Linked DNA regions of Neurospora crassa OR74A. The protein of the gene in region 3 purifies or fractionates together with the protein of the main gene of each other region. This does not show direct contact. Links are inferred from orthologs where the notes say so. Each region holds a gene or a part of one and is shown on either strand. Other genes may lie near its edges. The genes, in order: NCU08811, NCU00493, NCU01992 and NCU04404.

What was found.
Region 1: the proteins of NCU01992 (region 3) and NCU08811 purify together in Saccharomyces cerevisiae (affinity purification with mass spectrometry; 5 studies listed by BioGRID, with this or other methods). This does not show direct contact. The link is inferred for Neurospora crassa OR74A from reciprocal best matches to the Saccharomyces cerevisiae genes SEC21 and GLO3.
Region 2: the proteins of NCU01992 (region 3) and NCU00493 purify together in Saccharomyces cerevisiae (affinity purification with mass spectrometry; 4 studies listed by BioGRID). This does not show direct contact. The link is inferred for Neurospora crassa OR74A from reciprocal best matches to the Saccharomyces cerevisiae genes SEC21 and RET2.
Region 4: the proteins of NCU01992 (region 3) and NCU04404 purify together in Saccharomyces cerevisiae (affinity purification with mass spectrometry; 4 studies listed by BioGRID). This does not show direct contact. The link is inferred for Neurospora crassa OR74A from reciprocal best matches to the Saccharomyces cerevisiae genes SEC21 and SEC26.

What each region holds. Positions count from the first base shown.
Region 1 is NC_026504.1:5,157,513-5,162,954, reverse strand, and holds NCU08811 (arf GTPase-activating protein), read left to right. Parts: upstream 1-2,203; 5' UTR 2,204-2,539; coding exon 2,540-2,611; intron 2,612-2,688; coding exon 2,689-2,824; intron 2,825-2,896; coding exon 2,897-3,080; intron 3,081-3,173; coding exon 3,174-3,931; intron 3,932-4,012; coding exon 4,013-4,353; 3' UTR 4,354-4,678; downstream 4,679-5,442. Other genes in the region: bdp-1 (bromodomain protein-1), read left to right, coding at 1-81; NCU08810 (mitochondrial import inner membrane translocase subunit tim-21), read right to left, coding at 937-1,137, 1,225-1,470, 1,541-1,849. UniProt on the Saccharomyces cerevisiae protein: GTPase-activating protein for the ADP ribosylation factor (ARF) family. Involved in retrograde vesicular transport from the Golgi to the endoplasmic reticulum.
Region 2 is NC_026503.1:4,046,792-4,052,118, reverse strand, and holds NCU00493 (coatomer subunit delta), read right to left. Parts: upstream 3,396-5,327; 5' UTR 3,116-3,395; coding exon 3,113-3,115; intron 3,057-3,112; coding exon 2,422-3,056; intron 2,367-2,421; coding exon 1,556-2,366; intron 1,494-1,555; coding exon 1,404-1,493; 3' UTR 1,044-1,403; downstream 1-1,043. Other genes in the region: NCU00494 (hypothetical protein), read right to left, coding at 25-340, 401-611; NCU00492 (hypothetical protein), read left to right, coding at 4,444-5,327. UniProt on the Saccharomyces cerevisiae protein: The coatomer is a cytosolic protein complex that binds to dilysine motifs and reversibly associates with Golgi non-clathrin-coated vesicles, which further mediate biosynthetic protein transport from the ER, via the Golgi up to the trans Golgi network.
Region 3 is NC_026501.1:1,752,172-1,757,428, reverse strand, and holds the start of NCU01992 (coatomer subunit gamma), read left to right. Parts: upstream 1-1,979; 5' UTR 1,980-2,151; coding exon 2,152-2,227; intron 2,228-2,326; coding exon 2,327-2,637; intron 2,638-2,704; coding exon 2,705-4,019; intron 4,020-4,082; coding exon 4,083-4,898; intron 4,899-4,956; coding exon 4,957-5,189; 3' UTR 5,190-5,257. Other genes in the region: NCU01991 (hypothetical protein), read left to right, coding at 31-783, 847-1,186. UniProt on the Saccharomyces cerevisiae protein: The coatomer is a cytosolic protein complex that binds to dilysine motifs and reversibly associates with Golgi non-clathrin-coated vesicles, which further mediate biosynthetic protein transport from the ER, via the Golgi up to the trans Golgi network.
Region 4 is NC_026504.1:3,470,892-3,476,262, reverse strand, and holds the start of NCU04404 (coatomer beta subunit), read right to left. Parts: upstream 3,509-5,371; 5' UTR 3,071-3,508; coding exon 2,769-3,070; intron 2,704-2,768; coding exon 281-2,703; intron 213-280; coding exon 64-212; 3' UTR 1-63. Other genes in the region: NCU04405 (mago nashi protein), read left to right, coding at 3,874-3,911, 3,979-4,016, 4,100-4,195, 4,255-4,318, 4,381-4,468, 4,531-4,671. UniProt on the Saccharomyces cerevisiae protein: The coatomer is a cytosolic protein complex that binds to dilysine motifs and reversibly associates with Golgi non-clathrin-coated vesicles, which further mediate biosynthetic protein transport from the ER, via the Golgi up to the trans Golgi network.

The DNA.
Region 1 (5,442 bases), on a different chromosome or scaffold from region 3:
CTCCAGAAAACATTCGAGGACAAGTACTCGCAGATGTCCAAGTGGATTGCCAAGATGGAGGGCCAAGAGGGATCTAACTAGTCGCTCTGTCCAAATGGACTTATTCACCAAGGCCCAAACGGCCAGATATGTCATGGTTGCGGAGGAAGCTGTTGAGAAAAAGCCGACAGTAATCTCTCGGTTGGATGGTGTCTGCATGGATACGAATGCCATCGTCATCTCGATCGGATCGATTCCGATACAACCAAGAGTTTGCCCACGATAGCGACAAGAAACAAAGTCGCTGGTTGGCTGGGCGTAACAGCCACTCATCGAAAAGGGGAAAAGGGCGAAAGGAAAAAGGTGGTGTTCACGAAGCGAAAAGGAAACGGTGATTGGTTTTCTGGTGTAGCATTATTGGTGTCTCCTTGGTCATCATTAACCCGGCGGCGTTTGGGCTTGTTTATGATGGGCGGCGCTTAGGTCATTTTTTGTCCGCAAGCATGCCAGAGCGGCGAGACAGGAAGGGTTATTATTGTATTTGAATATCACTCTGATCATATCTAAGGATTGGTGGCTGGTCTTGTTGAAGAAAGACTTGAAAGGCGATGGAATAGCACTGCAACAGTTTAGGGTCATTCAGGAAGCTCTCTGATTTGATTTTCAGGAAAAGAGAAGGGCATGACAGAGTACAAGCAACTGCGGTCTTGGTATCCGTACCAACGATGAGGACATATAATGAAAGCACTCTAATTCCAATTTGCAGACTTGTTCTCATATCCAACGTGCGATGCTAAGCCTCCATGACGCATCATAATGACACACCGAAGATAACAAACATACTCATTGAAAGAAACAAGACTAACCGGCAAACCCATATTTCACTGCATCGCCGTTCATCATTGCAACAATGACCAGCAGCCTTGAACAATATTCATACAAGCGAATGGAAGCCTTTCAGTTCCACTTGACACCCAAGAACTTGAACTCCTTGTTGCCACCCTTCTTAGCAGCCGCCACTTCTGCCTCCTTATTCTCCAAGTAAATTCTCTGATGTCCCCTCACATCCACGTAAAAGGTCTGGTACTCATGCTCCCAGTGACCTGGTTGCTTGGTCAGATGCAGCCCGACGACACCAGAACCTCTTGGTCCTTCGACCTGTTTTTCTTGGTGTTAGCCCCATCATCACAACAAATTTTTAACAAAACAGGGGAAAGAAAAAGAAGAAGAAGAAGTAAAACGAACATGGAAATGCATCTTTAGATGCTCCACACCCCTATTATCCTTCTCGACCGTTGCCGCGATCGGCCGCGCCCGGCGCCACTTGTTGTGTGTCTCTTCGCCGTGAGCAGCAATCTTCTTTGGGTCGCCGGGCGAAAGAAGGGCGACGCAGCGAGGGTCGGCACGGATCCGGTCAACGGCTCGGTTGAAGTAGGCGGTTTTGGACTCTGGGGAGAACACGTCGGTGAAGAGTAGGTAGGCAATTCCTCCCTGTGTGGTAGAGTTAGTACTACACACAACACACCGGAGTGAGCGATGAATTGGGAAGAAGAAAGCGTACGGTCAAAACCACACCCAAAATCACCAGACCAAAGTTGAACGTTTGCTGGACGGCGCGCCCGGCTTTTTCACCGGTGGAGAGCCGAGTCCAGGGCACATGGCCATCATCATTGAAGGGCGTTACGGATCTCCTCTTGGAACTTTCTTGCGTAGTCGCATATTGCCGGCGCGATGAGACGAGAATGACGCTAGCTGCTGTCGGAGGAAGAGCTCTCGAAGCTGCTGTGGTAATGGTTGCTTGTTGACGGACCACGGCGGGGCTCAGAAGAAGCCTCACACCCGCCGAAGTACCTGTGAGCATTTTCATCATGGAGGCTTCAACACAACACCCATATTTCAACGGCAATGTTTCAGCCGTTTGCGATTGTTATGAGAGCTTCAATGAGAATGAGAGGTCCGAACGAAGCTGTGATGAGCTGCGGTTGGATGAAGCTTTGGAACCGTTTGCCGGCACGGCATCTTTCCCGGCAGAGGAGGTCCGTCCGGCGAGGGGTGGAGTCGGGTTCGTGTTGCGCTCCACTAGGTAGAGACGGGACTGTGTGCCAAGGCGCCAAGATGCCACATGGAAGGGCGAACCTCCATGAGCAAGTGGAAGCGTCTGATTCTTGGCTGGGGAACACAAAGAAATGTGGCCCAACGTTCCAGTGGACGTTCCAATACCATACAGGTACGTAGGTAGGTTGCCAGGCAGCCCGGCTCTCTCCGCTGGGGCTCCCCCCCCGTCTCCTGAATTAACTGCGAGCGAATGACAACACTTGAAAGATTGACAACTTGTAACAAGCCCGAAAACCTACAGCGCCGCCTTGTTTGACTTCTCTCCCTCTTCTGCCCCCTTTTTCACCTTCCCCCCCCTGACGGCAGCACCGACCTACCGACCCTGACAACCTAACCGAGCAAAGGGGTCATCAACAACGACAGTCGAGATCTAGTGACACATCACAACCCTGGCAAAGGACAGACATACCTAATCCGAACCATCACCGGACTGCCGACCGACAAGATGAGCGGTCTCGCGACAAAGCAGCAGTCGCTCAAGCTTTTTGAGAAGCTCAAGGCGAAGCCAGCCAACAAGGTATGTGCCCACGCGAGCAGCGATCGACCCTAGACATCCAGAAAGCTAACTGCTGCCTCCCTTCCCGCGAACAACAGATCTGCTTCGACTGCGGCCAAAAGAACCCAACATGGACCTCGGTCCCCTTTGGCATCTACCTCTGCCTCGATTGCTCGGCCAACCACCGCAACCTCGGCGTTCACATTTCCTTTGTGCGGTCTACTAACCTCGACCGTATGTGCCCTCTCGATCTTTACTCCACGACGCGACACCTCGCCCGCTAACGCGAACCTTGTTCTTGTACAGAATGGCAATGGGACCAGCTACGGATCATGAAGGTGGGCGGCAATGAGTCGGCAACCAAGTTCTTTCAGCAAAACGGTGGTTCCGCCGCCTTGAACAGCAAGGACCCCAAGACCAAGTACCAATCTGCTGCCGCGACCAAGTACAAGGAGGAGCTCAAGAAGAGGGCTGCTAGGGACGCCCGCGAGTATGCAATGCCCCTACCCCTCATTTACACAAACCTGTTTTATTCCACGTTACATGAAATGCAATGCTGACGCGCTGTTTACCTCCCACCCAGATACCCCGAAGAAGTTGTCATCACCGACGGTGACGATGCCACAAGCAGCAACACCCCGGCCGGCGAGCCCGACGACGACTTCTTTTCCTCGTGGGACAAGCCCGCCATCAAGAAGCCCACGCCACCCATTTCCCGCACTTCCACACCCCCCGTCATCGGCCGCACCGCCTCCCCGCTCCTCGGCAACGGCAAGGACATCCAGCGCACTTCCTCGCCGCTCTCCAAGACCGATTCCGATGCTCCCACTCCCGCCCCCGCCGCCAGCCGCATCACCACCTCCGCGGCCCTAAGGAAAACCACCCCCGGCAGCAGCACCACCGGCGGCCCGCGCAAGGTGGGCGGCGGCATCCTAGGCGCCAAGAAGCCCGCGGCTAAGCTGGGCGTCAAGAAGATTTCGGCGGACCTGATCGATTTCGACGAGGCGGAGAAGAAGGCCAAGGAGGAGGCGGAGCGCATCGAGAAGCTGGGTTACGATCCCGAGGCGGAGGAGGAGAAGGCGGCGAAGAAGGCCGAGACCAAGACCAATAATATCATCACCCCTGCTGCGGCGCCAGTCAGCTCCTCCAGTTCGCGGTCGGCGGCGCAGGAGAAGTCGGCTGCTGAGGTGGAGAGGCTAGGTATGGGTGTCAGGAAGCTGGGTTTCGGTATGGTGGGCAAGCCCGGTGGTGCTGGTGCTGCGGCGGGCGCGGGAGGAGCGGCGGCGGCGAAGAAGAATGCGGGTGGGTTTGGAAGTGTTGGGCCTATTAAGGCTAGTGAGGGTATGTTTTTTTTTTCCCTCCTTTCCCTTTCTTTTTTTTTCTTTTTCTTACGCAATACTAACCAACATCGATACGAAACAGCCGACGAAGAACAATACGCCCGCAACAAGTTCGCCAACCAAAAGGCCATCTCTTCGGACGAGTTTTTCAACAAGGGCAACTACGACCCCTCGGTCAAGGCCGAGACCAAGGCCCGTCTACAAGGCTTCGAGGGTGCCCAGGCCATCTCTTCCAATGCCTACTTTGGTCGTCCCGAGGACGACGCGCCCGCCGAAGACTACGGCGACCTCGAGTCTGCCGCCAAGGACTTCATTCGCAAGTTTGGCATCACTGCCAGCGATGATCTGGAGAACCTTACGCAGATGGTGGGTGAGGGTGCCGGGAGGTTGCAGGGTGCTATCAGGGCTTATCTTGGGAGCTGAGCGGTGGAAATGGAAGAATGAGGCAGCAGTGTGGGTGGGCAGCTGGACGTGATGGGCGAAGGGAATTACCTAGTTATGAGACAGAAAGATGTGGACGAGCGGGTAAGGCTTCCTTTTAGTAAAAATTAGTATTTGTAGTGTAATGGTGAATGAATGTTTTATGGTAGAGAGCACTAGTAGTCTGGGCAGATGATGCGGGTTTCTGATATCTAACGAAGAGGATGACGGCCAGGATCTGGATGAGCTGTTCTCACATCCGTGGCGTAGGGGGATCTTGGTAAGTGACCACGGGAAGTATTCAAGCAACAAGAAAGAGATATGATGGTGTTCTATAGCGTACGGTTTTTCGATTACGGTGGCAGTCGAGGTTGACAGGGAGAGATCGTGATGTTGATCAGGGTTTCAGCGAGATTTTTGCTAATAACTGACTCGCGCAACCATAATAGAAGCTACTGATATAGGGCCTACCTTCAGCGTAATTCTATCAATAACAACAGCTGGTCCGATGGTGTAGTTGGTTATCACGTCAGTCTAACACACTGAAGGTCCCCAGATCGAGCCTGGGTCGGATCATGAACCAAACTTTCTTTTTTTGCGATTGTTTTTGTTTTTTTATTGACCTAATGTTCTCGGCCCCCTTTTTTTTTTTTTTTTTTTTTTTTTTTTCCCTTTCCTGCAGGAGGAGGGAGAAGGGGGGGGGGGGGGGGGGGGGGAAGAATCGTCAGTCGCGCAGTGGTCACTTGCACTTTACCACTTGGTCCATGCTGTGCAGTCCACAATCCTCGTTGAAGTCTTTGCAAATAAAGACCTCTAGATGATGTGCCCTGCTTTCGGATTTACAATACGGTGTTTCTGAGGCGCAAGCAAGACCGAATGTCATTGCCATGCAAACGGTGGAGATATCCATAGGGAAGGTCACGATGGAAACCCTAGGGTTTTGCTTAGACCGAGCTGAAGTAAGGTGTTATGTTATTTATGGCTCTGATCTGGGCGGCATTGCCTGGAAATGGGACTGGATTGACGGACTGCGGTAGGGGCTGTTTCTTCAAGGTGTAAGATCTCACTTGCACAGATATTGGCGTTGAAGAT
Region 2 (5,327 bases), on a different chromosome or scaffold from region 3:
AGCTCATGGGTCCTGTACACATACCCGATGCCTCCCGACAAAGGAAGAGGACTAATTTTGGGGAGAGCAGTCTCGATTTCCAGAAAAGTCAACTCATGAGGGAGGTCCAGAACATGCTTCTTCTCATCGAGCATGAGATCCCGCCACGGCAAGTCGGGGAGGTCATTATGCTTCCTGGCACGCGACTTCCTACCAGTTTCGTTTTTGGCCCAGGCGATGAACTCAATCTTAGAAGGCTTTCCACCATGACCTGCCACGCGGATGTGATGCACGGCTTTGTTGCTTTCCAAGCCGATCAACCTCACCACGCCGTCACTCCAGCCGGCAGCTAAGAATTGGCCTGCGAATTCCCTGTAAGACAGTGGTTTCCCTCAACAGCCATCGGAAGATCTTCACTTACCATCCTCTTTCCACTTGATTGCATCAACCTTCTGGTTTCGTTCTGTATGCTTCGAGACCAACTGATTGCTGCCACGCCAGACATAGATCGTGTTACCGTCGCCGACCGTGGCTGTCAAGTCGATCACGGGATTGCATACGATTTGCTTGCCTGAGACTGGCACACTCAAGGCGCTTGAACTGAATAGCTGAAGCTGCCCATTTGGGGACATTTTGTAGGATCCGTTGGTGACTTTCAGTTGGATGATGTTATTTGGACGTGGAAAGCAGCGGCTAAGTGGTTCCAGCCTTCAACTCCGGGACGCAAGATTTTGATTTGAATGACACGCGCAAGTCCATAACTTGGCAAGTCGGTTTGTATGTTTGGGGGATTTCGGTTTTGGTTTGCTAGACCTACAGCTTCACTTGCCTCGGCGTGATGTTGTTGTTGTTGTTGCTGCTGTTCTGCGATTCAGTCGTGTGGTCTCGTCCTGCCTGTTGATTCAAAACACAGTGCAGATAGAGCAGTTGCCACAGTAATAGAAATACTGTGCAGGGGCATCCGTACTGTGTAGGTATGACCTTTACAAGCTTACCTAGCGAACTACACACATCGACATCAATTACCATACTCTGTGCTTACAACAGCGATGATTGAGTTGGATAGCTCTTTGCGTAGATAGGCTTCTTTCTATATGGTACTGGATCATGAGGGTATCCATCCCCTTAAAAATGCGTAGGGCTCGTAGCTTACATGTTACTTTCAAGGATCCCGGGAGCGTCAAAAACCTCTTGTTCAAAAAGTCAAGTATGACCTTGGGTATCAACGGAAGAAAAGGAATGACAGCTCGAGCACCCACTGGCGCGGACCATGTACAACAGTATTCATTATAAAGGGAGTTGGACAACTCGGTTGCTTCCCATACATTACTCTAATTCTGGTGTGGAAGATGATGATCGAGACGCCTGGCCGGCATGCTACGGTCGCCCTTTTTTGGTTCTGCTCAAAACAATGACAACAAACCCTACTCAATGAGGAACTTGTCGGCCACCGATCTGATGTCCTTGGAAAACGAAACCTCTTCACCTTCATCCACCAGCTCAACAGATTGAACCTAGAATGTGTCAGTTGTTCCGTCTTTACCCGTTTTTCTGACATGAGGGGGCGACATCTTACATCAACCTCCACGAACGGCCACGACTTGGAGAACCGTACTTGCATCGGGAAGAACTCGTTCTCGTCATCGGTCTGCGCCTCAAACTCGAATGATCCGCTGGCGTTCTCCTCGCTTACGGTGCCTATCGACCACTCTAGACTGTCACCAGACACCTCATACACAGCGTCGAAGCTAGACACCTGAGGCTCTGCGCTCGTGTAGGGGATGACGACAGTAACGTCCTTGAGGGTATCTCCGCCAGTGAGCTCGTACTCGACCGTCAATGTGCTGTTGCCATCCGAGCCCTTGTTGACCCAAACGGTGAAGCTGATTGGTAGTGCGCTGGTGTCGTCGACTCTGGGACTGGCCCGCCACCTTAGAACTCCGACAGAGTTGTTAAGGGGGAAACCCTTTGTGATTTGAGACAACTGGATAGCCTGGGAGCTATTGAAGACATTCTTATCGACGTTCGGGTGAGTGCGGAACTGGGCGCCGTGGGTGGGTGTGGCGCTGAGGTTGAGCTTGATCCTTGAAAGCGATGGGTCGGAGACGCGAAGCTGGAGGTCACCGCTGACCGAGAGGGATTCGAGGGCACCATCTCTCGACAGCTTGGCACTGATTGCCTCGTTGATAAGGACGTGAATAGCATCCCTGTCGAGTGTCGAAGAGACTCTGGAAGCAGCAGGCTCTGCGGCAGCTGCCGGCGCGGCTACCGGAACAAGGGGCGCTTCCTCGGCCTCGTGTCCAAGATCCCCCTTCACGCGCTCGAAAATATCCGTATTCTTGGACTTCTTGCCCAACTGCATACCTTTGCCCTTTGGCGCATTGAACCTAGAAGAATGTGAGCTTGCAGGCCAGCCTGAAAAGAAGAGGGACTAACACATACTTGACCTTGTTCTTCTCGGCTTCGTACGTATCATAGGACTCGGTGACAGCAGGTCGCACCGGCGGGGTGTATGTGGGATATACCGGCGTCCGGGGTACCGCGGACCGACCAGTTCTGGCCGACTCCTTGCGCTGCATCTCCAACTGCTTGGCTTTCCTCTTGCGCTCTTCGGTGGCCTCCAGCTCCTTGTTGCGGGCAATGATTTCCTGAATGCGCTCCTCGTGGCTTTCCATCTCGAGGAAGGTCTTGATCTGGCTGATGGTGAGGTTCTCCCGGTAACCGAGAGTCACCAGCTCATCGAAGGCGCTGAGCAGTTCGTAGGCATTTCGGAGGATTTCGCGCTCGTCAAGGCTCTTGCAGGTGCTGGTGACAACCTGGGCAAAAAGGTGGAGCGAGTCGATGTCCTGAAGGATGTTGGACTGCTTGTTGGTGATGAGGACCATGTACAGCTCGTCCAGGGGCTGGTAGACGAATCGGACATTGTCTTGCTCGACAATGGTGTGCTGAGTACCCGAGTCGGCGGCCTTGGGGAACGAGGCGAGGAGAGCTTCGATGCGGGAGCGCTTGATGTCGTTGAAGGCGCGGGCTAAGACGGCCTTGCCGCCGCGGGTGCAGATGGAGGCAGCGAGGACAACCTGACATGTTCCGTCAATCGCTTCTTCCCACCAGGAGACAGGGATGGATGAGTTACCATTTTGACAGCAGTAAACAACAACCACGACTACTGACTCGAAGGGCGCTTCGTGGTAGTGCAGGGAGCTTTGGGATGCGTTGGAGGTAAGTCGTGAGCTTCACCTCCTGAAAGTTGTCGTGGACGGGAAGGTTGATGTGGTCTTTCCGTTGCCGTGCTGAGGTGTGCTGTCGGTCAGGTCCAATTGAACTGAAGGTGCCATCTGGAGGGACCCAGCGGGCAGCGATAGGTAGAGGTACCTGGACGGCAGCTTCACTGCAGCGTCAGGGCAGTCGGGTTCAGGCGGGCCAGGGCAACCTACTGCGTACACGGTGGCAGCGTCCTGGCCGGCCGACGAGGGGCTGCCAGCTGGCAAAAGAAATCCAGGGGCACACCATAGATACAAGTACAGTAGGTAGGTACCTCTAGGCACCCACAGGGCCCGCTAAACTCCATGCGGCACTTGCTTAGGTTCAGTTTCCTTCCTATGATCAATTCTGCGAATTTCACCGTTGTCCACACACTGCGGCAAAACCAACAACTGCACCTCTTTCTTCAACACGCACAACAGACGGCCCCGTGTGTCGAAATTTCACGATTTCCATTTCCATCCAAACCATCGCCTACCTCGAAAAACCATCCGCCATCGAGAAACTTGTTTCTCAATCGCGTCAAAGCATTGCCCAGCCAATACGAGTCTCGATTACGGATCATCAAATACCTACGCTACCTTTGTGACACGCCTCGTCATCAAGAGCTTACTCGACTCCGTTGCACTTCACCCACCTCCCAGCTCCGCCGCTCCGTGAAAGTGAGGCATCCCGATTATCTGCCTGCCGCGTTTCAGCATTCCATACCTCGATTCGATGTGCACTTTTGCCCAGAACATCCGCCCCAGAACTCTTAACAGCGGTTAAATCGTGTTGTCGGATTCCGCCAGTCCACGTGTCGCCTCACATCCCTTCACCGTTTCATTTTGCGCCCCAGAAGCGCCGTTGTTTGTCGGGCGTTCTTTGTCGAGTGCGGGGTTGCCCATTCTCAGCCATAACTCCAGAACCCGTGGTCTCTATATGCCCTACGGCTTCGCTTCCAAGAAGAAGTCACAGCCTTTCAGTCCAAGACATCCACCGAAACCCATCGCCAAGCTTGGGGTTTTGACCAGTGCACCAATTTTCTACGTCTTCGCTTCTTTCATGACGCTTGCTGGACGTACAATTTCTTGACAACGGCAATACGTCGCACCTTCTTAGAAACTTCGTGGAAGTTTTGCGTCATTTTCCAAATTTTCGTTCTTGATCCAACTCACTCGTCTGTGGCGCGTGTTTTGATTGACCCGCCAACCGCCAATCATCATGGAGCAAGTTAGCTTCGACGTTCGTGCCGAGGCGGGGAAGGCGGTATTTGACGATGACTTGATGCTAGATGCCGGCATGCCAGCCGACGAGCTTGTCTTAGAACTCGACGACCTACATGACAAGGAAGATGAGTACCAGGCGATCGATCTTGATGCCCAACCCGCCACAGCGGATGTTGAATTTGCTGTCGATGACCTCGAGGCTCAGCATAATACCAACGATGAGCAAGCAGAGGCGGCAGGCGGCGTCGAGCAAGATGCTCAGGATGTCTCCATGGCATACAATGACGAGATAGGTTATGAAGAGGAGGAGGGCGTTGCAGAAGAGGCTGTTACTGAACACGAGCCCGAAGATACCACTATATCAAAAGCGCCGTCTGCAAATGACGAGAATCCAGATCTACGTGAATTGGAACAGGAAGCCCAGGACGTCCAGATTGATCTTGCTGAGTCCAAATTGGGCGACGATGCGGAAGAGCAGCCGATCGGGCGTGAGGCCGAGACAAAGAACCCTGTTGATCAGGAGGCTACTGAACAAGTTGCCGAGACCGATGTCGGTCTGGACGTCGGTGGTGTTGCAGCTACCAACCCTCTGGATACAGCTGTCTCGGGAGCTGAACAAGCGGGCGAGGCCGTGAGCGAGGATCGCCAGCTCGAGGAAAGCCAGATTGACCATGACGAGGCCATTGTTGATGATGCTGCATTCAGCATCACAGATATTACAGTCCAGTATGATGGTGGCAGTTATGCCCTCTTTGGGAACTCGGACATGGATCCTGAGACCTACTTTCTTACCGATACTGAGATCGCAACCGCACCGTTGTCGGAATTACTTGCATCTATCCGTTCTGTCATTGCCTCGGAGTTAACACCCGGAGAAGA
Region 3 (5,257 bases):
GCCTCTATGCTAATATGATATCTGTTACAGGCAAAGACAATTGAATTATTTGGCTTCTCTTCAGAAGATACCTCTGGAATCTGATAGCGAAGCTTCACAAGCACAAGATGGAGGTTTCTCGACAACCCAGGATATCTTCGGAAGACCCCATGAACTCCCATTGAGCAGTTACCCCCCCCTTGGGCGTGCTCCATACCCCCCTAGCTTCGACGCTCAACAATCGCCGCCTTTGGCGTACCCCAGTAATCCGAGTGCTTTTCAAAACGGCACTCTTTACGCACAGTCAGCCGCCCAGCTAGGCCGACCTAAGAGAGCTTCGCCGAGCGGTAATGATGGTGTAGTCGATGGATCAGATGTGAGCAAACCGCCAGCCAAAAAGCCAAGGACCCGTCGCCCGAGGCCTGCTGTCCCCACTCCTGCCGCAGAGGGTGCAATGGGGGATGTTGGGACGCCGTCTTCATCTGCCGCTACTGCTGCTGCCGCTGTCGCTGCTGTGGCTAGGTATTCACCGTCCTCAGGCACGAAGGCTGAGCCTGACCTCGACGCCGTGTCGCAACGCTCGAGAGAGCTCTCGGCAGCTAACCGGAAAGCCAGAGGACCACAGAGTCGGTCACCCTGGCTTCGCGATGACATCAGGATGTTGATCAAGGCAGTGGATACGTACAAGTGTAAATGGAGCGTCATCGAGAAGGAAATAAAGGAGGGGAAAATCCCTTTTGAGCGCCCTCGTGACCAGCAGGCTTTGCGAGACAAAGCTCGCTTGCTAAAGCAGGACTTCTTAAAGTGAGTGACTTGACGCCTTGCTTACTAAACCTTATCTGGCCGCTACTGACACGTCTGGTACAGGGCTGATGCTATTTTGCCTCCGTCCTTTGATCTCGTTGTGCTGGGCAAAAAAGAGAAAGAAGCTGTGAAGGCATGCGGCAAAAATCCCGACCGCAAGGAAGACGACGTCCGGAACGGGTTTCCCATCAATACTGATTATCACGCGCAAGAGCCGATGCAGGAGCAAGCAAGCGCCGCCGAAGCGGAGGACCAAGCGCAGGTGCAGGGCGAGGAACAACCGGACATGCAACTCGAAACACAGGCGGAGGTACAGACTGAGGCGCAACCCGAGGCCTCGGCAGTGGTCTCAGATGAGGTGCCTGTCGATGCAGAAGCGATAGAAGCTGCTTCCACATCATAGGGTCCATTTGTGTATCCGATCGCTGATGCTACGCAGGTGAGGGCCGTAGCAGGAGAGTGATATAAGAAGCTGTGCCTAAGAGTACGCCCCAAAAGAGAGCAAGCAAACATACTAGAAAACAAATCATGCTTTTATGAGCCAAAGCAAGGCTATATGTCCTTTTGGAGGAAGACGAAAAGGAAGAGATGGGTACAATGGATGCTCGGACCAACTGTATCCTTAAGTACAGGCTGGGACTACCGTTGAGGAGAACCAATTGACAGCAAGAAGGGCTCACGATAATGCAATTTGAGTAAAGTAGTCAGTATCAAGCTGTCATTCAAGCCGAAAGGGAAGGCGGCCACCTAGACCGAGTGTGGGATGTAAAGCTTGGCACTGAACAGGTCCAAGTAAAGTATCAATAGTTATCATGGTGATTACTACGTACTAGCAATCTTGGTTCTATTTTTCCTTCAGAAGCACAAGTGAGGTGACCTGGCAGGTTGAACAATGTCAAGTTTGTCTTCCAGGAACAACATCCCGTGTGATTATATTGAAAATAATTAAACTCGATGATCTACTCAGGAGGCGGGAGGGAAGCATCTATGTAGAGGTAACTAGGTATGTACATATTGGAAGGGTGGTCTGTGCGCTGTAACACCCGCTCCTTGAGGTTGACGATGCACATGGAGAAGCTTGCTCCTGCCGGGAGGCTTTCAGCCTCTAACTGGCGAGACTGGCAGCGTGGCCCGGGAGCACGGACTCCCTGACACCTCAGTGGACTCCCCCTCGACTGTGCAGTGGAATTGGCAACGTCGCGGGTTTGGGGATACCCGCTTGCTGGCCGCACCGTCGCACAGGCAACACGCTACTCCGTTATTTCGTACCTCTATTGTTCTAGCCTCGACTTACTTGCCTCAACAACAACAACTTGGGTTTCCCAAATCCACATCACACCTCCAGCACCCATCGTCGCCCTGCCCGCCATGAATTACGGCAAAAAGGACGAGGATGCTGAGACGGGTCTGGTCAAGGTCGACCGGACCCAGGTCTTCCAGGAGGGTGAGTCCGAGTACCTTGGCAGCTGAGGCATTGTTCGTCGGGTGGACGTGGCCCTTATACTCTCCTAACCTCCTCAAGACTGACCGGTTCGACATACAGCCCGCCTCTTCAACAACTCCCCCATTCAGCCGCGCAAATGTCGTATCCTCCTCACCAAGATTGCTCTCCTCCTCTACACCGGCGAAAGATTCCCGACAAACGAAGCCACGACGCTGTTTTTTGGTATTTCGAAGCTCTTCCAGAACAAAGATGCCAGCCTACGACAGATGGTCCACCTTGTCATCAAGGAGCTGGCCAACTCGGCCGAGGATATTATTATGGTTACCAGCACCATTATGAAGGATACTGGCGGTAGTACCGATGCCATCTACCGCCCGAATGCCATCCGCGCCCTTTGCCGCATCATCGATGTAAGCCTCCCCCTTCCTCGACCCCTTAATGGTTATCCGATGTGGAGCTAACCCCGACCTTGTGCAGGCCACCACAGTACAGTCCATCGAGCGTGTCATGAAGACGGCCATTGTCGACAGAAACCCCTCAGTATCCTCTGCCGCCCTCGTATCGTCATATCACCTTCTCCCCGTCGCCAAGGACGTCGTCAAACGGTGGCAGAATGAGACCTCGGAAGCGGCAGCTAACACCAAGTCTACCGGCGGTTTCTCCCTCGGTTTCGGATCTTCCAACAGAGATCTGCCCATCAACAGCTCGACTATGACCCAATACCATGCCATTGGCTTGCTTTATCAGATGCGCATGCACGACAGGATGGCGTTGGTGAAGATGGTCCAGCAGTTCGGTGCTCCCGGTGCCGTCAAGAACCCCGCTGCTCTCATGTTGCTCGTCCGTCTTGCCGCCCAGCTGGCCGACGAAGACCCACACCTTAGGAAGCCCATGATGCAGCTGCTGGATGGCTGGCTCAGGCACAAGAGCGAAATGGTCAACTTCGAGGCCGCAAAGGCGATTTGCGATATGCGGGATGTCACCGACGCTGAGGTCACCCAGGCAGTCCATGTCCTCCAACTTTTCCTTACCTCGCCCCGCGCTGTCACCAAGTTCGCCGCTCTTCGCATTCTCCACAACTTCGCTTCGTTCAAGCCGGCGGCCGTTGCTGTATGCAACCCGGACATTGAGCTCCTCATCTCCAACAGCAACCGCTCCATCGCTACTTTTGCCATTACTACCCTACTCAAGACCGGAAACGAGGCCAGCGTGGATCGTCTGATGAAGCAAATTTCTGGCTTCATGTCTGAAATCACCGATGAGTTCAAGATTACGATTGTCGAAGCCATCCGTACTCTATGCCTCAAGTTTCCCAGCAAGCAGGCCGGCATGCTCCAGTTCCTCAGTGGTATTTTGCGCGATGAGGGTGGCTATGAGTTTAAGCGCGCCGTGGTGGAGAGCATGTTCGATCTTATCAAGTTCGTCCCCGAATCTAAGGAGGAGGCTCTCGCTCACCTGTGCGAGTTTATTGAGGACTGCGAGTTCACCAAGTTGGCAGTCCGTGTCCTTCACCTCCTCGGTCTTGAGGGACCCAAGACATCCCAGCCTACCAAGTACATCCGATACATCTACAACCGGGTGGTTCTCGAGAACTCCATTGTGCGCGCCGCAGCGGTCACTGCCCTTGCCAAATTTGGTGTCGGCCAGAAAGATCCTGAAGTCAAGCGCAGCGTAGAGGTTCTCCTCACCAGGTGTCTGGATGATGTTGATGACGAGGTTCGCGATCGTGCTGCTCTCAACCTCAAGCTTATGAAGGAAGAGGATGAGCTTGCGAACAGGTTTGTCAAGAATGGTAAGTTCTCGTCTACTTTATGTTACGTTTGCCGGATGCGATCACATACTGACATGTCAACAGACAGCATGTTCTCGTTGCCCTTTTTCGAGCATCAGCTCGTCACGTATGTTACTTCTGATGACAGGTCGACATTCGAGGCGCCTTTCGACATCTCCAAGATCCCTGTTGTTACCCGCGAACAAGCAGATGCCGAGGATAGGACCAAGAAGCTTACTGCTACGACACCTTCACTCAAGCCACCCAAGGTCGGACCAACCAAGGCGGCTCCCACCAGCGCCGAGGCAGCCGCATCTGCCTCGGCAGCTGCGCAAAAATATGCGCAGGAGTTGATGCAGATTCCCGAGATGGCAGAATTTGGCGCCGTTCTCAAGTCGTCGCCGGTGGTAGAGTTGACCGAGGCGGAGACCGAATACGTCGTTGGAGTTGTCAAGCATATTTTCAAGGAGCATATTGTGCTCCAGTACGAGGTCAAGAACACCCTTCCCGACACCGTATTAGAGAACGTCTCTGTCGTAGCTACTCCCGCGGAAGAAGAGCTTGAAGAATTATTCATTATTCAGGCTGAGAAGCTCGAGACCGACGTTCCTGGAAAGGTATATGTGGCATTCAGAAAGGTCAGCGGTGAGGGTTCGCTACCAGTTAGCACCTTCTCCAACGTCCTCAAGTTCACCAGCAAGGAGATTGATCCCAGCACCGGTGAGCCTGAAGAAACCGGCTACGATGACGAGTACGAGGTTGCCGAGTTTGACCTGGCGGGAAGCGACTATGTCATTCCCGTATTTGCCAGCAACTTTGCGCACATCTGGGAGCAGGTTGGCGCTTCTGGGGAAGAGGCGGAGGAGACATTGCTACTCAGCAGCATGAAGAGCATATCAGGTACGTAAAATTCTCTGGTCCTTGGTTTCTGCCAAACCCATTTATTAACATCCTACAGACGCAACCGAACAACTAGCAAAGACTTTGTCGCTACAACCCCTTGAAGGAACAGATGTACCCCTCAACCAGACCACACATACGCTCAAGCTCCTCGGAAAGACCGTCAACGGCGGCAGAGTGGTTGCCAACGTCCGTATGGCTTTCTCGGCCAAGTCGGGTGTTACTACCAAGATCACTGTCAGGAGTGAGGAGGAAGGTGTGGCTGCTTTGATCGTGGCGTCTGTTGCTTAAAGAGCTTAATGAAACGGGCGAGGTATCAACTATGCCCTTGGCTTTGATAACTTGAGGGATGTTCGTTG
Region 4 (5,371 bases), on a different chromosome or scaffold from region 3:
CAACCCTCCCAATCACCCCATACATCATCTTTTTCATCTCATCTAGCCGGAGAGAAAATCTGTTCAAGCGGCAGAACCAATCTTGTTCAATGCCTTGAGGGAGCCAAGACTGAGGGCCAACCCTTGCGATCTGCTGCGTATCCTCAAGAAACCAGTAATGGGTCCGTCTTCACCTTCCTTTTCGATGCTCAAGTTTGCTAGAGCGTCCTCGCCTGAATAAGAGAAGGGAAGTTAGCGATGCTATTTCCGAAAGTGCTATGCGAATGACGAGAAAACTTACCGAAAACGCTTCTTGCGTAAAGGTTGGCGCTCAAGAACTGGCAATCACCCTTAAGACTGGCCTCTGGTGTCAAGCAGTTCATATTTGTGGACGCCATAAGCAGGTCCAGGAACTCACGTAGGCTCTTCGCCTTGCTGTTGATGTTGACCTTGTTCTCCCACTCAAACTCGGTCCACATGGTGCGGAACTGGGTCTCAGTGCAAGTTGCCGGTTGGATGTAATCCATGATGTCGACGTGCAAGTCGTTCAGGATGACCACGTGGGTATCAGTGGAGTGAGCACCCTCATACACGACGTTGCCAAAGATGACACCAGTATCTGTGGAGGAGACCTTGATGGTGCACTGAACGTTGTGGAAGTCGTGGGGTCCCAGATTCTGGCTTGTCGGCTTCTCCACAACCTTGAGGTCACCGAGAGTTGCGAACTCGACGGTAAGGTTCTGGAGGGTCTCAGTTGTTTGGTTGACGAGTAGTACGTCTAGTACAATGTCGAACTGGTGGACCTTGACATAGGCCTCAGCATAAACAGGGTCGGAGAAACCGGTGAGCTGGACAACGCGGCTAAGCTTGCCAGATAGGTCCTCAGCCGAGCTGTTGTCTCCACCAGTGGCACGCTCGAGATCGGCATCGAAAGCATCAGCCCCATCAGTGGCATTCTTCTTGGAAAGCTGGCGGATTTGATAAACATCGTCCACCTGGGTGGCCGTCTTTGCCTTTTGGTGGGCCTCTTTTGCTGCGCGCTTCTTCTCCTCAACCTGGACCATCGCCCTGAACGCCTTCCTGGTATCCTCGAGATAAACGGTCTCCAACTCCTTGTGCGCGGTGAACTCGGCAAGGGAGCGCACACAGCTCATGATACGATCCACCGAATCTTCATCAATAGGGGCCTTGACGAACTGCGACTGACCAACACGAATGACGGAGATCATGATGAGCATAGCCTCAGCGCGGAGGGCGTTCGTGCGAGCCTCTTCCGAGGAGATCTCGGCATGACGCATGACAAGCTTGGTAAGGGTCGATGCGAGAACAGTGGCAAGGTAGTAATCGCCGTCAAGGATAAGTTGCCTGAGAGGGGGCTTCGACGAAGCCTTGACAGCCTCCAGGCGTGCAGCAGCTGTAGACTGGCTGGTAAGGGCAGTCTCGGTAGCGTATGTGCCGTCAGCAAGGACCTTGCGTGAGCCAGTCGGCGCTGCCCTTGAGCCATTGACCTGCTCCTTCTCCTTCTCCTCGGCATCACCATCAACATTATCCAGCAACCGTTGCTCGGATGCCAAGATCGGGATCTCACCCAGGCTTGCCCGAATTCTCTTCCATGCGTCCCTGATATCCTTCTCCTCAAGCGAGTACTCGCCGATAATCCAGAGAATACCGCGGTAGATCTTACCAGCGCGGACTTCACTCAGGGTATCTACCAGTCTCGCAATGATTGCTGGCCTGAGCTGAGGGAACTTCTCGACGACCTCCTTGACAAAGTTAATAACATCAACGGCGGAGTTGTTGTTGAAATCGGCAATAAAGTCCATGAGCAAGCCGACGACGCTAGCGGCGACTTCGGAGAACTTGATAGCGCATTGATGGATGGAGTGGATAAGAAGCTGGCGGTACTCGTTGTTCTTCTCGTACTCCTGGTCAACCGTCTTGGACAGCTCCTTCTTGAGCAAAAGCACGACTTCCTCCACGTTCTTGCTGGAGACCATCTCCAAAGCGATCTCGAGACCCTTCCTCCGCACATCGATATCCGTGCTAGAGAGAACGCGCAACACCTCCATGGTCAGGTCGTCCAGGACGCCGGGGTTCTTTTGGCGGAGTTGATCGACACGGTCCAGAACGATAAGCTTGACATTGTTATCCGCCTCCTTGATCGCAAGCTCAATGAACTTGCTGGCAGCAGCCTTGACAGCGACAGGGTTGTTGGTGAGGGCCGTCAACGACGAGGCCGCTTCGTAGATAACGGTCGAGGCACTAGCTTCCAAAAGGTCAAAAATAAGACGGAGGTAGCGCGCCTTGTTCTGGGTGTTGACAACAGCATCTTTCCTGATGAACTCCAACTCGGCCAACTGCAAAAGCTCATCTGCGTTGGGAATACCGTCAAAGACGGTGCTGAGATAGAGAAGAGCCTTGTCGTGGTCGATGCTGGCAAGGGCGGCGAAGCCATTCCGCTTGCAGGTTGGGTCGCTTTCGCCTTCGAGGAACGTGGAGATCAAGTCCGCAGCATCGGGAATAAGCGACGGGGAGTGCTGGTAAATGGAAGCGACAGCAAAGACGGCGTTCTTTCGGACATAGGCATGGCGATGTTCGAGACAGCCCCGGGCTGAGGAGAGCAAAGGCTCGAGAAGTTCGGCCTCCCGCAGCTTGCACAGGAAGCGCAGCGTGTTGCCTCGGATGTACTCGTTCGGGTGTTGCAAGTCGTTTCGGATGCCGTTACTGCGAGGCAATGGCTGGTCAGCTTGGAGGGGCCAGCATGCCCAGACGGACACGGAATGCCTTACCATACTAGGATGAACTCCTGCTTGAGCTTCCCTTGGGCATCAAGCTTGGGGCAGATCTCATAGTAGAAGTATAGAAGCTTCTTCAGGGGCTTGGATTTAGAAGGCATTACGAATCGGATAATGTGCATGAGCAATTGGGGCATGGGATCGCCATTGAGCATGATGGTAAGAATGCGCTTCATGGTCTCGATCTTGGTCTCGTCGGTGCCCTTTTCGAGCTGCGTCTTGAGCTCCTGCACGGTTGGGGTGCCGTCGACGGCATTGTCCTTGACCAAGCTGTAGGCATTTTCGAGGAACGACATGTTGGAGAGCTGGCGGCGGCCGGGCCGTCTTTGATTAAAGTTGAGATTGAATTTGGTAGAAAGTAGCTGGCCGGGCGTCCTGAAGAGGAGTCGCGGATCGAAATTAGAGAGGGGCGGGTGTGGTAAGGTGTTGTTTGCCCCGTTGTAGGTTGCGTGGTGCTAGTAAATGGATGGACTGAGTGGCTGCCTCGAGCTCCTGAAGAGTGACGATGAGCTGGCCTTGGTGCTGGATGTGGTTTCCTCCCCCTGGACTGACAGGGTCGTGGTTGGCCGAAAATCAAGAGACGGCTGCGCAATGAAAGGGTTGTCTGGAGTGCGCCGGCGAGGTGAGAGAGCGGAGCATCACCTGTGCTTGTTGTTGAAGTCTGGAAGAGCCAGCGTGGATAGGACGGTCAATTCTATCGAGAGACGGCCCCTGGGAGATGTGGCATTCTGGCCGGCCGCAACAGCACACGGCGAAGCACGGACCCCCCGACACCCTTACGGCCTCACCAAGCCTCCATCTCCTGGCCGAGTCTGCCATCTGCCAGCTTGTCCAAACAGTCGAAGGATCACGTGTAGATACGGATTGCCAGCTGTCAGGAAGGCTCGTGAACCCGGAGTCAGCTTGGAGCCCAAACAATGCCCCTGGGCCAAGCTGGGGTCAAGTGTGGGGCCGTGTGCCCCGCCAATGTCACTGGAGCGTGGCCGCGCGGGCGCGACTTTCAAGGTTGTCCATCCAAAAGCGACAGGAACCAAGCCGCTGGCTGCATCTCTGCCTCTTGTCTTGCAAAGCCTACTACTGACAGAAGCAACAAACAGCCATGTCAGCCGCCAACGAACCCTTCTATCTGCGCTACTAGTATGTACACCCCTACGGGATTCGATTCACTCACACATTGAAAACACCATGCTAACAGCCGGCTTAGCTCTGGCCACTCGGGCCGCTTCGGCCACGAGTTCCTAGGTGTGTTCAGCCATTTGCGCCTCGAGACGCAAGCTCCCACGTTTCCACGACCACGATGCTAAACTACCGCCCTTTGACTACAGAGTTCGACTTTCGCGTCCTCGGCGACGGACGTAGCGCCACTGCCCGATATGCCAACAACTCCAACTACCGTAACGACAGTCTGATCAGGAAAGAGAGTAGGAAACACTGTTTAGCCGGCCGTGGACATCCATATACTGACGAGGGTCTCTTTTAGTGTGCGTCAGCTCTCTGGTCATTGACGAGATCAAGCGCATCATCAAGGACAGCGAGATTATGAAGTACGACATCATGTTCACCCTTTTATACAAACAACATGGAGCGGCTGCTGACAGGCCAACAGGGAAGACGACGAGAAATGGCCGACCAAAAACAAAGACGGAAAGCAGGAGTTGGAGATCCGCCTCGGGAACGACCACATTTCATTCGAGGTGCGTCTTGCCAGTGTCGGAATCTATTTCTGCAAAATGTTCAGAGCTAATACAGGAAATAGACTGCCAAGATCGGATCGATCAACGATGTTACGGACTCGGCCGACCCAGAAGGCTTGCGCGTCTTCTACTACCTCGTTCAGGACCTCAAGGCGCTGGTGTTCAGTCTCATTGCCTTGCACTTCAAGATCAAGCCCATTTAATCTTCCGACACGAACGAATACCCCGAGTTTGATATATCCTTACTCATGGAAAGGAGAGATTTTGTGGGATAATGCGGCGTTTTATAAAGGCGTTCTTTTCTATCTATTGGCGGCGCAGATGGGTTTCTTGAAACTGGATTTAACATGGATAACTTCGGGACTGGCACAATCGTATACATTATCGACCAATCGCCCCACTGGCCCCCGAACCTAAGAGTCGTCATGGCTGTTTGTGTCAGCTATTGATGATGACCAACCAAGCAGTGTGAGGCAAGATATCCGATGCAGTTGCCAGGCGGAGACCGAGTGATGGAACACCGACATCTCATTACGAAGCACACCAAAAGCATGCCGCTGTACGATTCGTACAACAAATTCGATTCGTACCTCTATGTGAAGAGAGACCTGCCATGGCTGGTCTTGAATCACGATTGATCAAGTGACAAAAGGTTGGGCTACCAACTTTAAAGCAGTAACAAGGTCCGCACATGTCAAAGTAAGAAGTTAATCGATCCAACTCTCCGACTTTTGGCTCTTATTGGCGGTAGACCGGTTATGCTGTGTAACTTTTCGCTTGACGAGTAACGCGGGGTAGACTTTCCTTCCGAGACACATCCAATGCGAAATGGCTTCAGTTTATGGTAAATCCAAGTAGTACAAAATGCTTCGTGAAACTCGGTCCATCCTGGAGCCCTTCGTC